Saccharomyces cerevisiae S288C: one gene and its partners. The main gene of each other region encodes a partner of the protein of the gene in region 2 in a complex. Each region holds a gene or a part of one and is shown on either strand. Other genes may lie near its edges.

What was found.
Region 1: PAP1 (region 2) and PTI1 share a complex: the UniProt entries of both Saccharomyces cerevisiae proteins name them as parts of the cleavage and polyadenylation factor (CPF) complex.
Region 3: PAP1 (region 2) and YSH1 share a complex: the UniProt entries of both Saccharomyces cerevisiae proteins name them as parts of the cleavage and polyadenylation factor (CPF) complex.
Region 4: PAP1 (region 2) and SYC1 share a complex: the UniProt entries of both Saccharomyces cerevisiae proteins name them as parts of the cleavage and polyadenylation factor (CPF) complex.

The regions. Positions count from the first base shown.
Region 1 is NC_001139.9:798,600-802,323, forward strand, and holds PTI1 (cleavage polyadenylation factor subunit PTI1), read left to right. Parts: upstream 1-1,946; coding exon 1,947-3,224; downstream 3,225-3,724. Other genes in the region: cystathionine beta-synthase CYS4, read left to right, coding at 1-1,467. UniProt on the Saccharomyces cerevisiae protein: Component of the cleavage and polyadenylation factor (CPF) complex, which plays a key role in polyadenylation-dependent pre-mRNA 3'-end formation and cooperates with cleavage factors including the CFIA complex and NAB4/CFIB.
Region 2 is NC_001143.9:441,662-445,438, forward strand, and holds PAP1 (polynucleotide adenylyltransferase PAP1), read left to right. Parts: upstream 1-1,570; coding exon 1,571-3,277; downstream 3,278-3,777. Other genes in the region: dynamin-like GTPase VPS1, read right to left, coding at 1-1,061; oxysterol-binding protein OSH6, read left to right, coding at 3,720-3,777. UniProt on the Saccharomyces cerevisiae protein: Polymerase component of the cleavage and polyadenylation factor (CPF) complex, which plays a key role in polyadenylation-dependent pre-mRNA 3'-end formation and cooperates with cleavage factors including the CFIA complex and NAB4/CFIB.
Region 3 is NC_001144.5:696,600-701,353, reverse strand, and holds YSH1 (cleavage polyadenylation factor subunit YSH1), read left to right. Parts: upstream 1-1,858; coding exon 1,859-4,198; downstream 4,199-4,754. Other genes in the region: YLR278C (uncharacterized protein), read left to right, coding at 1-1,355; DBP9 (ATP-dependent DNA/RNA helicase), read left to right, coding at 4,524-4,754. UniProt on the Saccharomyces cerevisiae protein: Component of the cleavage and polyadenylation factor (CPF) complex, which plays a key role in polyadenylation-dependent pre-mRNA 3'-end formation and cooperates with cleavage factors including the CFIA complex and NAB4/CFIB. Has endonuclease activity.
Region 4 is NC_001147.6:671,295-674,219, reverse strand, and holds SYC1 (cleavage polyadenylation factor subunit SYC1), read left to right. Parts: upstream 1-1,808; coding exon 1,809-2,375; downstream 2,376-2,925. UniProt on the Saccharomyces cerevisiae protein: Component of the cleavage and polyadenylation factor (CPF) complex, which plays a key role in polyadenylation-dependent pre-mRNA 3'-end formation and cooperates with cleavage factors including the CFIA complex and NAB4/CFIB.

The DNA of each region.
Region 1 (3,724 bases), on a different chromosome or scaffold from region 2:
AACACCCCATTGATCGCACTGAAAAAATTGCCTAAGGCTTTGGGTATCAAACCACAAATTTATGCTAAGCTGGAACTATACAATCCAGGTGGTTCCATCAAAGACAGAATTGCCAAGTCTATGGTGGAAGAAGCTGAAGCTTCCGGTAGAATTCATCCTTCCAGATCTACTCTGATCGAACCTACTTCTGGTAACACCGGTATCGGTCTAGCTTTAATCGGCGCCATCAAAGGTTACAGAACTATCATCACCTTGCCGGAAAAAATGTCTAACGAGAAAGTTTCTGTCCTAAAGGCTCTGGGTGCTGAAATCATCAGAACTCCAACTGCTGCTGCCTGGGATTCTCCAGAATCACATATTGGTGTTGCTAAGAAGTTGGAAAAAGAGATTCCTGGTGCTGTTATACTTGACCAATATAACAATATGATGAACCCAGAAGCTCATTACTTTGGTACTGGTCGCGAAATCCAAAGACAGCTAGAAGACTTGAATTTATTTGATAATCTACGCGCTGTTGTTGCTGGTGCTGGTACTGGTGGGACTATTAGCGGTATTTCCAAGTACTTGAAAGAACAGAATGATAAGATCCAAATCGTTGGTGCTGACCCATTCGGTTCAATTTTAGCCCAACCTGAAAACTTGAATAAGACTGATATCACTGACTACAAAGTTGAGGGTATTGGTTATGATTTTGTTCCTCAGGTTTTGGACAGAAAATTAATTGATGTTTGGTATAAGACAGACGACAAGCCTTCTTTCAAATACGCCAGACAATTGATTTCTAACGAAGGTGTCTTGGTGGGTGGTTCTTCCGGTTCTGCCTTCACTGCGGTTGTGAAATACTGTGAAGACCACCCTGAACTGACTGAAGATGATGTCATTGTTGCCATATTCCCAGATTCCATCAGGTCGTACCTAACCAAATTCGTCGATGACGAATGGTTGAAAAAGAACAATTTGTGGGATGATGACGTGTTGGCCCGTTTTGACTCTTCAAAGCTGGAGGCTTCGACGACAAAATACGCTGATGTGTTTGGTAACGCTACTGTAAAGGATCTTCACTTGAAACCGGTTGTTTCCGTTAAGGAAACCGCTAAGGTCACTGATGTTATCAAGATATTAAAAGACAATGGCTTTGACCAATTGCCTGTGTTGACTGAAGACGGCAAGTTGTCTGGTTTAGTTACTCTCTCTGAGCTTCTAAGAAAACTATCAATCAATAATTCAAACAACGACAACACTATAAAGGGTAAATACTTGGACTTCAAGAAATTAAACAATTTCAATGATGTTTCCTCTTACAACGAAAATAAATCCGGTAAGAAGAAGTTTATTAAATTCGATGAAAACTCAAAGCTATCTGACTTGAATCGTTTCTTTGAAAAAAACTCATCTGCCGTTATCACTGATGGCTTGAAACCAATCCATATCGTTACTAAGATGGATTTACTGAGCTACTTAGCATAAATAAGAACCCACGCTTCAAATAAAAGCAAACATAGAAGCAAAATCCGTCATTCCTTTCCTATTCAATTGCACCGTTCTCTTTATATAACTACTTAATTAAATAGCGCCTATACGAAGCAGCATTGTTCTATTATTTTTACAAATTCCTTATCATGCATGCATCACATCAGTGTTTGAATCTGTTAACTTTTCACTTTATTGCTCTTACCCGACTCTGAAGAAAAACAAAAAAACAGCGACATGTTGGAAAGGTCGGGCAGTAAAGCAGAATTTCAGAAATACTAGTACGATTGTTTGAGGTCTTGCGAAACCGTGCATTCATAATAGCACCTTTTTCAGTCGCTCATCCGGTCGTCCTATCTGTAAACGTCACTGTCAAACACGTTGCATTGATTAGATTTTATTATTTTATATATAGGTATATTTAGAAAACTCACAACTGGAGAAGACGAAGAACGAAGAACGAAGGAAAAAAATTGATGACAGATCCCAGAAGAAGAACAGGCCGTCATTTCTTGACACCGGAGAATTTATCCTCTACATTACAAATCACAAACTTACCTCCAGAATGGAACCAAGATATAATTACTTCGGTCGTGGCCGGTTCTGGTCCAGTTATAGATATAAAAGCTAAGAATGACCCGAGAACTGGTAAACTAACCGGTGTACTGTTCGATTATTTGACTAGTAAAGATTGTAAACGCGCTTGGGAAATTTTAAATAGAATTGAAAACTTTCCCGTAAAGATAGAGCAAATAATCCCACCAAATTATAAGGACCATCTTAGAGAAACAGCAAATAAAAATTCTCAAAAGCAGGTATTACAACTTAATAGAGATTCGTACCCCTTCGAGGCGGGTTTGGAGCTACCTTTCGAAATGGTGACAGAAGTCCCCATTCCTAGGCGACCACCGCCACCACAGGCTGCAAATAACACAAACTCTGTATCAAATAACACAAACATTCAATTCCCCGACATACTAAGTAAAGCATCTAAACACTTGCCAAGTTTCCAAGATGGCTCGATTATTGCACCAGACAAAATTTCACAAAATTTAAGTAAAATTCCGCCGTTGCAACTTATTGAAATTATATCAAATTTGAAAATATTATCAAACCAAGAAAACATCCAAAAATCGCAATTAGAATCTTTCTTAGATACTAACAGTGATATCACAATATCAGTGACCCAAGCCCTACTAGAAATGGGATTTATAGACTACAGCGTGGTGACTAAAGTGTTGAAATCCCAAGTTGGCGAGGCCCCATCTTTGCTTTCGAGTAATAACACAAGTAATTCGAACACCCCCGTAAGCGTAATTAGAAATAACACTCCGTTGCATGTACCTTCTAATGAAGTCAGCAACAATCCTAACAATATGCCACTGAACGTAGCTATGCCAATGCCTATGTCGACACCACCATTTATCCCTTTACCTCTGCAACAACAACCGTTCGGTTTTGCGCCACCGGGCCCTTTCATGCCTCCAGCTCAAGGCCCCTCCATGGGACAGCCTGTGTTGGCAAATCAACTCGGCCAGGTCCAGCAACAAAATATAAGTTCTACAGAAGGACCCTCTAACGCGAATAAAGCGAATGACAGCGGCACCATTAATATGGCGAAACTGCAATTACTACCTGAAAACCAACAAGATATGATCAAACAAGTTCTTACTTTGACACCTGCCCAGATCCAAAGTTTACCAAGTGACCAGCAACTTATGGTGGAAAACTTTAGAAAAGAATATATAATCTAAGTAATCAGAGCCATAGCGTATCAGAAAACCACACCTAATTAGATGGTTCTTGCATCTGTACCTCTTATCACTAAAAGCGGCACTAAACTTCCAACATTAAATGTTTGCCTTGTTAAATATATATTTTTGCCTTGGTTTAAATTGGTCAAGACAGTCAATTGCCACACTTTTCTCATGCCGCATTCATTATTCGCGAAGTTTTCCACACAAAACTGTGAAAATGAACGGCGATGCCAGAAACGGCAAAACCTCAAATGTTAGATAACGTGGATCTCCGACACATGTGAATTTATAAGTAGGCATATGAAAATACAGATTCTTTCCACTGTGTTCCCTTTTATTCCCTTCTCATGTGAAGAGTTCACACCAAATCTTCAAAATATAACTAATATAGTAGAGTTTGATTCAAAGGACCTTTTTTTTTGCCTCTTTGATTAGTTTATCTTCTTTTCTTCATTTTATCCCCTAATTTTATACGTTAGTTCAACCTAACAATCCAG
Region 2 (3,777 bases):
ATAAGTTCGTTTTGATATTTTTTCAATGTGGCTTCGATTTTCGCTTTGATTTCTGGCAGAGTTTGCCTAATGTGGTGTAATAAGATTGAGTTTAACTTTTTAGCCAAATATGGTGTACCACAGTAATGAGCTTTAGAACTGTAAGAGGGATGGTTCTCAAAAAATTTTCTTTCGTTTTCAAGGGCTTCTCTGATTGTTTTTTTGTGTTCAATATCCTTTTGACCTCTATTGATAACTGGGATATAACCATATCTCAAAGGAATGACTCTTCCAGCCAAAATATCTATGACATCTGTACCTTGATCCATCAAATCGACTTTTGTCAAGACACCAATAGTTCTCGTTCCTTCTGGATCGACCTCTCTAGCCAGCTTCAAACCATCGCTGTTGGCTAAATCGGTGTTAGCGGCATTAACAGATAATATGATAGCGTTTGGTTTCGAAATATACTTTAACAACATGTCCTTAATTTGTCTTTCAATATCAGGAGGTTGGTCACCTACGGGAACCTTCGTCAACCCAGGCAAATCCACTAACGTCAAAGTAAGAACATGCGGAGAATAAATTCTCAAGTTAATGGGCACAGAAGAAATACCTGAATTGGCACCTGTCACTTTGTCAGTTTCTTTGACGATTTCCTTTCTAATTTCGTCAAAATTATAAAACTTCTTACCAGGTAAATGCAAAAATTCACCCCATTCCTCTTTATTGTCTTCAGATTGTCCCTCGTTCTGGTGCTTTCCTGATTCATCCTTTTTCTTGTCATCATCGTTGATGTTCAAGTCAATCAATTCATTAGCAGTTTGGTTTACTTTAGCATGTTCTGACTTTTTTGGTCTCCTATTAATCAATTGTAACACTAAAGGTCTCCTGGTGACAATACCAGTACCTCTTGGCAAGAAATCCCTACCAACAATGTTCTCCAAAACGGACGACTTTCCTGACGACTGGGAACCGACAACAGTGATCTGTGGTAAATCAATAGGAGATTGAGATCCTCCTCCTAAGGGCGCCAAAGCGTCCTGAAGCTTGTTAATAGTAGAAATTAAATGCTCATCCATGATATCTGATAATATAAAATGTGCAGTTTTCGTACGGTCCTTATTTTGGTGCTATAAAAGGCCTCTCTAATTCTTTTTTAGGAGTAAATAGATGAATTATCTCGGTCTGTCTTGGAAGATATGTTGTTCTCTTGATGGCAAAGCGACGCGAATCAACGGCGCCCAAGTCTTTGGGTGACCCGGCCACTTAATAATGTTTGGGGAAGAAATCAATCCATTAGAACATTGGTTTTGGAAACTAGGCCAGTCCAAGCGCACAAGTGGTTTACCCTCGAGCATTTTTCGACTATTAGAGGATTCAAGTATCTATCGAATTCTCTGAAGCTATCATACTATCCTCTGGACGATATTAGAACGATTTTTCAAGTGAAACGTTTTAGCAAAAGTTTAAAGACACTAAACTAGCTAAATAATTTCACTGTGAGCAAGTCTTTAAACGGTCTTTTTTGAATCAAAAGAGGCCTAGAATTAGCAAAATATTTAACGCATAAACTTTTTTTAGACAAATAATGAGCTCTCAAAAGGTTTTTGGTATTACTGGACCTGTTTCCACCGTGGGCGCCACAGCAGCAGAAAATAAATTAAATGATAGTTTAATCCAAGAACTGAAAAAGGAAGGATCGTTCGAAACAGAGCAAGAAACTGCCAATAGGGTACAAGTGTTGAAAATATTGCAGGAATTGGCACAAAGATTTGTTTATGAAGTATCGAAGAAGAAAAATATGTCAGACGGGATGGCAAGGGATGCTGGTGGGAAGATTTTTACGTATGGGTCCTATAGACTAGGAGTCCATGGGCCTGGTAGTGATATCGATACTTTGGTAGTTGTTCCAAAACATGTAACTCGGGAAGATTTTTTTACGGTATTTGATTCACTACTGAGAGAGAGGAAGGAACTGGATGAAATTGCACCTGTACCTGATGCGTTTGTCCCGATTATCAAGATAAAGTTCAGTGGTATTTCTATCGATTTAATCTGTGCACGTCTAGACCAACCTCAAGTGCCTTTATCCTTGACTTTATCAGATAAAAATCTACTGCGAAATCTAGACGAGAAGGACTTGAGAGCTTTGAATGGTACCAGAGTAACAGATGAGATATTAGAACTGGTACCAAAGCCGAATGTTTTCAGAATCGCTTTAAGAGCTATTAAGCTATGGGCCCAAAGAAGGGCTGTTTATGCTAATATTTTTGGTTTTCCTGGTGGTGTGGCTTGGGCCATGCTAGTGGCTAGAATTTGTCAACTATACCCTAACGCCTGTAGCGCAGTTATATTGAACAGATTTTTCATCATTTTGTCGGAATGGAATTGGCCACAACCTGTTATCTTGAAACCAATTGAGGATGGCCCGTTACAAGTTCGTGTATGGAATCCAAAGATATATGCCCAAGACAGGTCTCATAGAATGCCCGTCATTACACCAGCTTATCCATCAATGTGTGCTACCCATAACATCACGGAATCTACTAAAAAAGTCATTTTACAGGAATTCGTAAGAGGCGTTCAAATTACGAATGATATTTTTTCCAATAAGAAGTCCTGGGCCAATTTATTCGAAAAAAACGATTTTTTCTTTCGATACAAGTTCTATTTAGAAATTACTGCATATACAAGGGGCAGTGACGAGCAGCATTTAAAATGGAGTGGTCTTGTTGAAAGTAAGGTAAGGCTTCTAGTTATGAAACTGGAGGTGTTAGCTGGAATAAAAATTGCACATCCTTTCACCAAACCCTTTGAAAGTAGTTATTGTTGTCCAACCGAGGATGACTATGAAATGATTCAAGACAAATACGGTAGTCATAAAACTGAGACAGCACTGAACGCCCTTAAACTGGTAACAGATGAAAATAAAGAGGAAGAAAGTATTAAAGATGCACCAAAGGCATATTTAAGCACCATGTACATAGGCCTTGACTTTAATATTGAAAACAAAAAGGAAAAAGTTGACATTCACATTCCCTGCACTGAATTTGTGAATTTATGTCGAAGTTTCAATGAGGATTATGGTGACCACAAAGTATTCAATCTAGCCCTCCGCTTCGTAAAGGGTTACGATTTGCCAGATGAAGTTTTCGATGAAAATGAAAAGAGACCATCAAAGAAGAGTAAAAGGAAGAATTTAGATGCTAGACATGAAACCGTGAAGAGATCTAAATCAGATGCTGCTTCAGGTGACAACATCAATGGCACAACCGCAGCTGTTGACGTAAACTAAGACATTCCTATTTATAGTTGAATAGTTTATTAATATAGGTTAATCAGTCATAAACAAATTTGTACCCTTTTTTTTGAATCAAAGTACTTTTTTTACGAAGCAGTAAAACGTTTACGAGATTCTCTCTACATATGCTCTTTCGCGTGTAGCGACATTTTACCATTAGGTGAGAATTTTGTGTTACAAGCTGGATGTCAGGATGATACCTTTGAAGGCATAGTTAAATTGGCTGGGAAAGGAACGGAACCTTTTCCTTTCCGAGTTTCGGCCAGATATTTAGGCTTTTTTTTTTCTGACGGAATAGGGGACCCAGGATTGACAAATATAACAAAACAAGCTTCAACGAGACGTTTATCTCGAGAATTACGTCTGACAGTTACATGAAGTGTGAGTTCATGCAATCTGTACCTTTATTGACACAGATATACTAAAAGAAGTTACAATGGGCTCCAAAAAACTGACCGTAGGATCTGATTCGCACCGGTTGAGCAAATCCAGTT
Region 3 (4,754 bases), on a different chromosome or scaffold from region 2:
CTTCCCAAGAAAAAAACCTGAAAATCAATGTAAACAATGATAACAATGGTATGACCATCAGCAGCGTCAACAGAGAACACAACAATAATCACAACAATAATAATGATAATAATAATAATAATAACAATAATAATAATAATAGTAATAATAATAATAATGTTAATAATAATGATAATGAAAGTAATAGCAGAAGCACTACCAACAACAGCTGCAATAATGGCAACAACAGCCAGTATGTTCGTAACAACAACGTAACTATGGAAAATGATGTAGAAAGGCCTATTCAAGACCAATATATCGTCAAGAAACCAACCAACCAAACAGAGTTTGATTGGCAAGTATTTCAACAGCAGGCCTTTCTACAACAGCAACTAGCTCAGCACAATTTACAAGCGTATCTATCGTCCCTGAACACCGATACTATGACCAATAGAAGTCCTTCAAAATCTTCTAGCATATCTACAGCCTCTTCGCATTCGGATCCGATTCCAATAGCGATGACGCAAAGCCCAACTCCATATCCTCAAACTTCCAATATGCTACCGCAACAGCATGTATCACGACCACTGCCGCAACAACAGCGGGAGCAGCCACAACAACATATTACTTCTCCACAAAGATTCTCAGAAAGCAATTTTACGAATCAATTAAACAATGGTATGATCAACAGTAATCCTCTACAATCTGCAATATTCTCTAACCATACAAGTGAAAATAAGCAATTAAGAGATGTCGAAGAATCAAATTTCAGTACATCACCCCTAAGAGCAGATTATGGCAATAATATTATCTCCTCGATACCAGCGTCATTTACTAGCAATTCAATTCCGGTCAGTGTCAAACAAGCTCGAAATGGCTCTTCTTCGGGCGATATACTTTTCAGCAACGGTGCTCATGACATGATCAACAATATTTCCACCTGGACCAATAACTCCGTTCTAGATGCTTTGAATAGCAAGTCCATACTACAAACAATATTTCCCCAGAGTCAAGAGCCTTCATCTCTGTCCATGGACAAACAGCAGCAACAACATCAACAACAAAATATGTGTTCTGAAAACAATGTAACCGCTAATAATTTTCAACAGACGCAGAATGACCCTTCGTATAACAGAAATTTGTTCATGATGTCCAATCAGGAAGGTGTACAATATAATCTTGACGAAACAGAGAAGAATGGACCTAAAACACAGGTGGAAGCAAACACTAGCGCAAATCTGCATTTCGACAATGTTATTCCTACAGTAACTAACGCAGACATCAGGAAAAAGCGTTCTAACTGGGATAACATGATGACATCTGGTCCGGTAGAAGACTTTTGGACGATTAATGATGACTACGGCTTTTTAACGTGATACTACATTAATATAATAGTATGTACAAACTCATTCCTTTTTTTTTTTTTTTTTTTTTTCTCTTTTTTTTTAAAAGAACAACTAAATCGCTTTTTTTAATTATGATATGGGTCATATCTTATAAGCCTAATCTAAAACACATTTTTTTCTTTCATTTATATTGTTTTTAAAATCAATAAAACTCTTTCTTTCCTGTATAAAGTCCTCTCCAAAAGACTAAGTAGCGTGTTTGCAAATAAATACGGGTAAGCAGTTATTCTGGCCGAAAATTATGAAAAACTAGCGGATCTTTAACAACTTCTACTGCTTCAGCGCAATACATATTGAGATCACATCTAATAGGTTCAAAATGTTCACGGGTATAAGCGTTTATTTCTTTTACCCTTGTTTTCAGTACTTCAAAAGTTACAGCACAAAAGAAACATTGTATTATCAATTGAATTTTGTCCATTGAGGAAATAAAAAGTAACATAATAAGTTAACATTAATAAGTATACGCATATATGGAGCGAACAAATACAACAACATTCAAATTTTTTTCATTGGGAGGAAGTAACGAAGTTGGACGATCATGTCATATATTGCAATATAAAGGTAAAACAGTGATGCTCGACGCAGGAATTCATCCGGCATATCAAGGATTAGCTTCATTACCTTTTTACGATGAATTTGATCTTTCCAAAGTCGATATCTTACTGATATCACATTTCCATTTAGACCATGCCGCTTCACTTCCGTATGTGATGCAACGGACTAACTTTCAAGGCAGAGTTTTCATGACACATCCAACCAAAGCCATTTACAGATGGCTACTGCGAGATTTTGTAAGAGTTACTAGTATAGGTTCTTCATCCTCCTCTATGGGGACTAAAGACGAAGGTCTATTCTCAGATGAGGATTTAGTTGATTCTTTCGATAAAATTGAAACGGTGGACTATCATTCTACTGTTGACGTCAATGGTATCAAATTTACGGCATTCCATGCAGGCCATGTATTGGGTGCAGCGATGTTTCAAATAGAGATTGCTGGCCTTAGGGTGTTATTCACAGGTGACTATTCGAGAGAAGTAGATCGTCACTTAAATTCTGCTGAGGTGCCTCCACTTTCATCCAACGTATTAATTGTGGAATCTACCTTTGGTACCGCTACTCACGAGCCCCGTTTAAATAGAGAAAGGAAGCTAACCCAACTAATCCATTCCACAGTGATGAGAGGAGGCCGTGTTCTACTGCCTGTTTTTGCTTTAGGGAGAGCTCAAGAAATCATGCTTATACTGGATGAGTACTGGTCTCAACATGCTGATGAACTCGGTGGTGGACAAGTCCCAATATTTTATGCATCAAATTTGGCAAAAAAATGTATGAGCGTTTTTCAAACCTATGTAAATATGATGAATGATGACATTAGAAAAAAATTTAGAGACTCTCAGACTAATCCCTTCATATTCAAAAATATATCTTATCTTAGAAACTTGGAGGATTTCCAAGATTTTGGTCCCAGTGTGATGTTGGCCTCACCAGGTATGCTGCAAAGTGGGTTATCAAGAGATTTACTTGAAAGGTGGTGCCCTGAAGATAAAAATCTAGTACTAATCACCGGTTACTCCATCGAAGGAACAATGGCGAAATTTATTATGCTTGAGCCAGATACAATACCTTCCATAAATAATCCGGAAATAACCATTCCAAGACGTTGTCAAGTTGAAGAAATCTCCTTTGCCGCACACGTTGACTTCCAGGAAAATTTAGAATTTATTGAAAAGATTAGTGCGCCAAATATCATCCTTGTTCATGGAGAAGCCAATCCCATGGGCCGTTTGAAATCTGCATTGTTATCCAATTTCGCGTCTTTAAAGGGTACAGATAATGAAGTCCATGTTTTTAATCCTAGAAACTGTGTTGAAGTAGATCTTGAATTTCAAGGTGTCAAGGTTGCAAAAGCTGTGGGAAATATTGTGAACGAAATATATAAAGAAGAAAACGTAGAGATAAAGGAAGAAATTGCGGCTAAAATTGAACCTATAAAGGAAGAAAACGAAGACAACTTGGATTCTCAAGCAGAAAAAGGTTTGGTTGATGAAGAGGAACACAAAGACATAGTCGTTTCTGGGATTCTAGTTTCAGATGACAAAAATTTCGAATTAGACTTCCTTTCTTTGTCTGATTTAAGAGAGCACCATCCCGATCTTTCTACAACGATATTAAGAGAGCGCCAGTCAGTTCGTGTAAATTGTAAAAAGGAGCTAATTTACTGGCACATTTTACAAATGTTTGGAGAGGCTGAAGTTCTTCAAGATGATGATAGAGTAACAAATCAAGAACCAAAGGTTAAAGAAGAGTCAAAAGACAATCTGACCAATACAGGTAAATTGATTCTACAGATAATGGGTGATATTAAGTTAACTATTGTTAATACTCTAGCCGTTGTGGAATGGACTCAAGATTTAATGAATGACACTGTAGCAGACTCCATTATTGCTATACTTATGAATGTGGATTCAGCTCCCGCCAGTGTCAAGCTTTCGAGTCATTCTTGTGATGATCATGATCATAACAATGTGCAGTCTAATGCACAAGGTAAGATTGATGAAGTTGAGAGGGTGAAGCAAATCTCAAGGTTGTTTAAAGAACAGTTTGGTGACTGTTTTACTTTATTTCTCAATAAAGATGAATATGCAAGTAATAAAGAGGAAACTATAACTGGAGTGGTTACCATAGGTAAAAGCACTGCTAAGATTGACTTCAACAATATGAAAATTTTAGAATGTAATTCAAATCCTTTGAAAGGTAGGGTGGAAAGCCTCTTAAATATTGGTGGTAATTTGGTCACACCGCTATGTTAAAAACAGTTACGCATACTAAGTAGACTACTTTATAGAAGTAATACCAAACCAAAATCTGGTTAGAACTGCCTTTTATTGTTTACCTTAATCACTCTTTACGTAATGAAACCTAGAGATGAAATTTTAAAAATTTTTTTTCACGAACATAAAGAATAACTCTTCTAGACCATCTCATCTCATCTCATCTCATCTCATTTCATTTCGATTCTTCTAATTTCTTTCATTGAGTAAGAGCCTTTTGTTTTGGCTGATAGTTATAGTCAATCTACAATTTATCTCACAAAAGAAATAGACTAAGCCAAAACTGCAACGAAAGATCAAAAAAATGAGCTATGAGAAAAAGTCTGTGGAAGGCGCTTATATTGACGATTCTACAACGTTCGAAGCATTTCATCTCGACTCTCGTTTATTACAAGCTATTAAGAATATAGGATTTCAGTACCCAACATTAATTCAATCACATGCTATTCCTTTGGCTTTACAACAGAAGAGAGATATTATAGCAAAGGCCGCTACAGGTTCCGGAAAAACTTTGGCATACCTCATTCCTGTAATT
Region 4 (2,925 bases), on a different chromosome or scaffold from region 2:
GCTTACAATATAAGTGAAATTGTTCCATTTTGTTTCATAGGAATTCTTACTCAAAAAGGATGTTTTTTAATATTCATATAATATTTACAAATAGCTCTCTGAAAAAAAGGATTTTTTTTTACACCTAATAAAACTGTCATTCATGTTAAGTAACTAAAGTGCTTCACAACTGTACTTAATGAACTGAATCAATTTCCTTGGCAATGCAAATTCTTCCAGACAAGAGGCGGCCGCGGCGGTATCTCTAGAAAATTTGGCAGCCGCACAAAAGGGTCCTACTGATGACGGGCTGGCAAACGGCGCTCTCCAAGGCACAAACTTTGTGACAAAATAGAATCCAGCGGCAGAGATCCGGATAAAAATGGGGGAGTGGACTTTCAAAAGCCGTACACCTCTTGTACTGAGGACAAATAATACAAGTTAAACTTGAATATTTAGATATGAGACAAAATGCTAACGCACATTCTCACTCCTAAATACTTAATTTCGAAGTCTGCGTTCCAAGATATGTAAGCCATCCATTCATACGGGATTGATGGAAAAGTCAGTAAATTTACAATACCCCTTTTATTCTGTTTGATGTGACAACTACTCGAAATCTGCGTAGTAATAAATATAACCAAAGGGAGTTCTAAAGAAGAAAAAAGGAACTCCCCAAAATAGGTCAACGATTACGAAAATTTTTATATGTTTGTTGGAAGTATTCGAGGAATGAAAAGAAAAATGGGTAGCAAACTGGGAATAACTGAAATAGAACCAAACGTCATCTTTTTAGAAAGAAAGGCATTCTTAGAATCATGATATGCCGTCCTTCGACCATATTGTGACCTAAGCTTTTTCTTCGACAATTGATACTGCATAATCGAAGGAGGATAAAAAAGTTGTTACGATAGTATTCCTTGAATGCACTTGGACTATATATACATGTTTATATTAGACGCATCTTTGACATTTTGCTTGCGCTAACCTTGCAGGTAAGGAGAGCAAAGGGAAAATGCATCGAAAAAAAAAAAATCGTGCTATTTTCGCTAATAACTATGCAAAATCAAGTGAAATGGTGTTTCTCGAAAAAGGTCACAAGCGCAACTTTATTTTCATGGTATATTCAGAATTTATTTTAATGATCGAAAAAAATTGGCCTAGCAAAGTAATCATTCAATAGTTTAAAGGCGGTTGCGGAGGATAGTGACAGAAAGAACTTCAGAAAAAGGTCCCTAGCCTAAAAGGAGCCATCACTATTAATGAACTCTATGAAGTTTCTGCTAAGAGAAAAGAATTTAGCCGATGTTTTGTTCAACTGCGACGCTTAGGGAAGAAAACATCGAAATATCGCAAGTTGTGTAACCCAGGCCACTCAAAGTCGAGTCTTTAAAAGTAGTGGTTTTATGCATATGTGCTGTTGTTGTTTTCCGAGAGGGATGCATATGAAATCTAGCCGAAAAGGCGATATCGTAGTATACAATGATTATGTATTTTTTTTGATTTTAATTTTTAGATAACCGACGATGGGGATAAAAGATATAAATCATAATGGTATCAAGCATCGTTGCTACTATGAAAAAAGACTTTATGTGATAAACATGCTTTATCTAATCAATTCACTTACTTCTTTACAAAATTCACTCATTCAACGATAGAATAAAATAGTCTCAAATTTGAGATTTTTTTTTTTAACTTCGGATGTTCTTCTTCGGGAAAGGAAGAAAGCAAGAAAAACAAGAAAAAAATAAGAGGAAACGGAGATAAAATTGCATGTCTGCACTATGACTGAACAAGAGCGGCTCACGTAATTTGCATTATAACGTAAAATGGATTTACCCAAGGACAAAAGTGACAGAACTCATCAAAGAATTAATCTAAATAACAGTGGGACAGATCGAACTAATGATTTGTACCTTCATATTGTCCAAACGTTCGGTTGCATAGAAACAACTGCAACGGAAAATGCCACGAAACTGTTAATGCTGGGTGACGTCGAAGTAGAAATATCTGCGAGCAGCGTTTCAATTGAGTGGACACAGAAGTCAATGATAAGCCAAACAATTGCCGATAGTATAGTAATAATGATCATCGGTTTGTGTGCAAGCGACAAGAACGTGCTATCTGAATCAGAATTGAAAGAGAGAAACCATAACGTTTGGAAGATCCAAGAATTGCAAAATCTGTTTCGAGAACAATTTGGAGACAGTTTTAGCATCGATGAAGGAATAGGAAAAAAAGAAAATGTAAAGAATGGTAGCGTCACCATAGGCAAGAGTAAAGCCACGATCGATTTCTCCACCATGAAGCTGATTGATTGTAATTCGAACCCACTAAAGGGAAGAGTGGAGAGCATACTAAGCATTGGCCAGAAATTAACAACTCCATTGTGCTGAACGTCATTACTTACCTTTTTATTTTCTTGTATGTGCTTTCATCTGAATTATTGGTGGATTATGTAACAAGTTGTTGAGTTTTCCCCATATAACTACTTCGCCAAGGAAATGGTAGGTGCGGGGGCGGAGAACGCAAACCAGCGTATCTATGGCTAAATAAGGAAGAAGCAACAACACTGTTGTAATTATGAGGCATACATAGACACAGATTCGTACATTATTTCCATAATACGTAGGAATATTACTCAAGGACAAGCGGATTTCAACCTTAAAAGGTGAGGAGTAGCTGCATGAGCATCGGTGACGGTGATTTCACCTTACTTTTTCGGAATACGAATGTACACAAGCGGCACAATAAAGTTTAACCAATCTTGTTTTACGTAGCTATTTTTATTACTCTTAGTTTTGTGTGTATCTGCAATGCTACGAAGCGCCTCCGTAAACACCAATAATCGGTGCTGGAGTACTCTTATCACAAAAAGCCCGAGCACGCACCATGTAATTTCCGAGATCTGTTACGCAAACAAAGGAAAGGCGGGAGTACCACAGC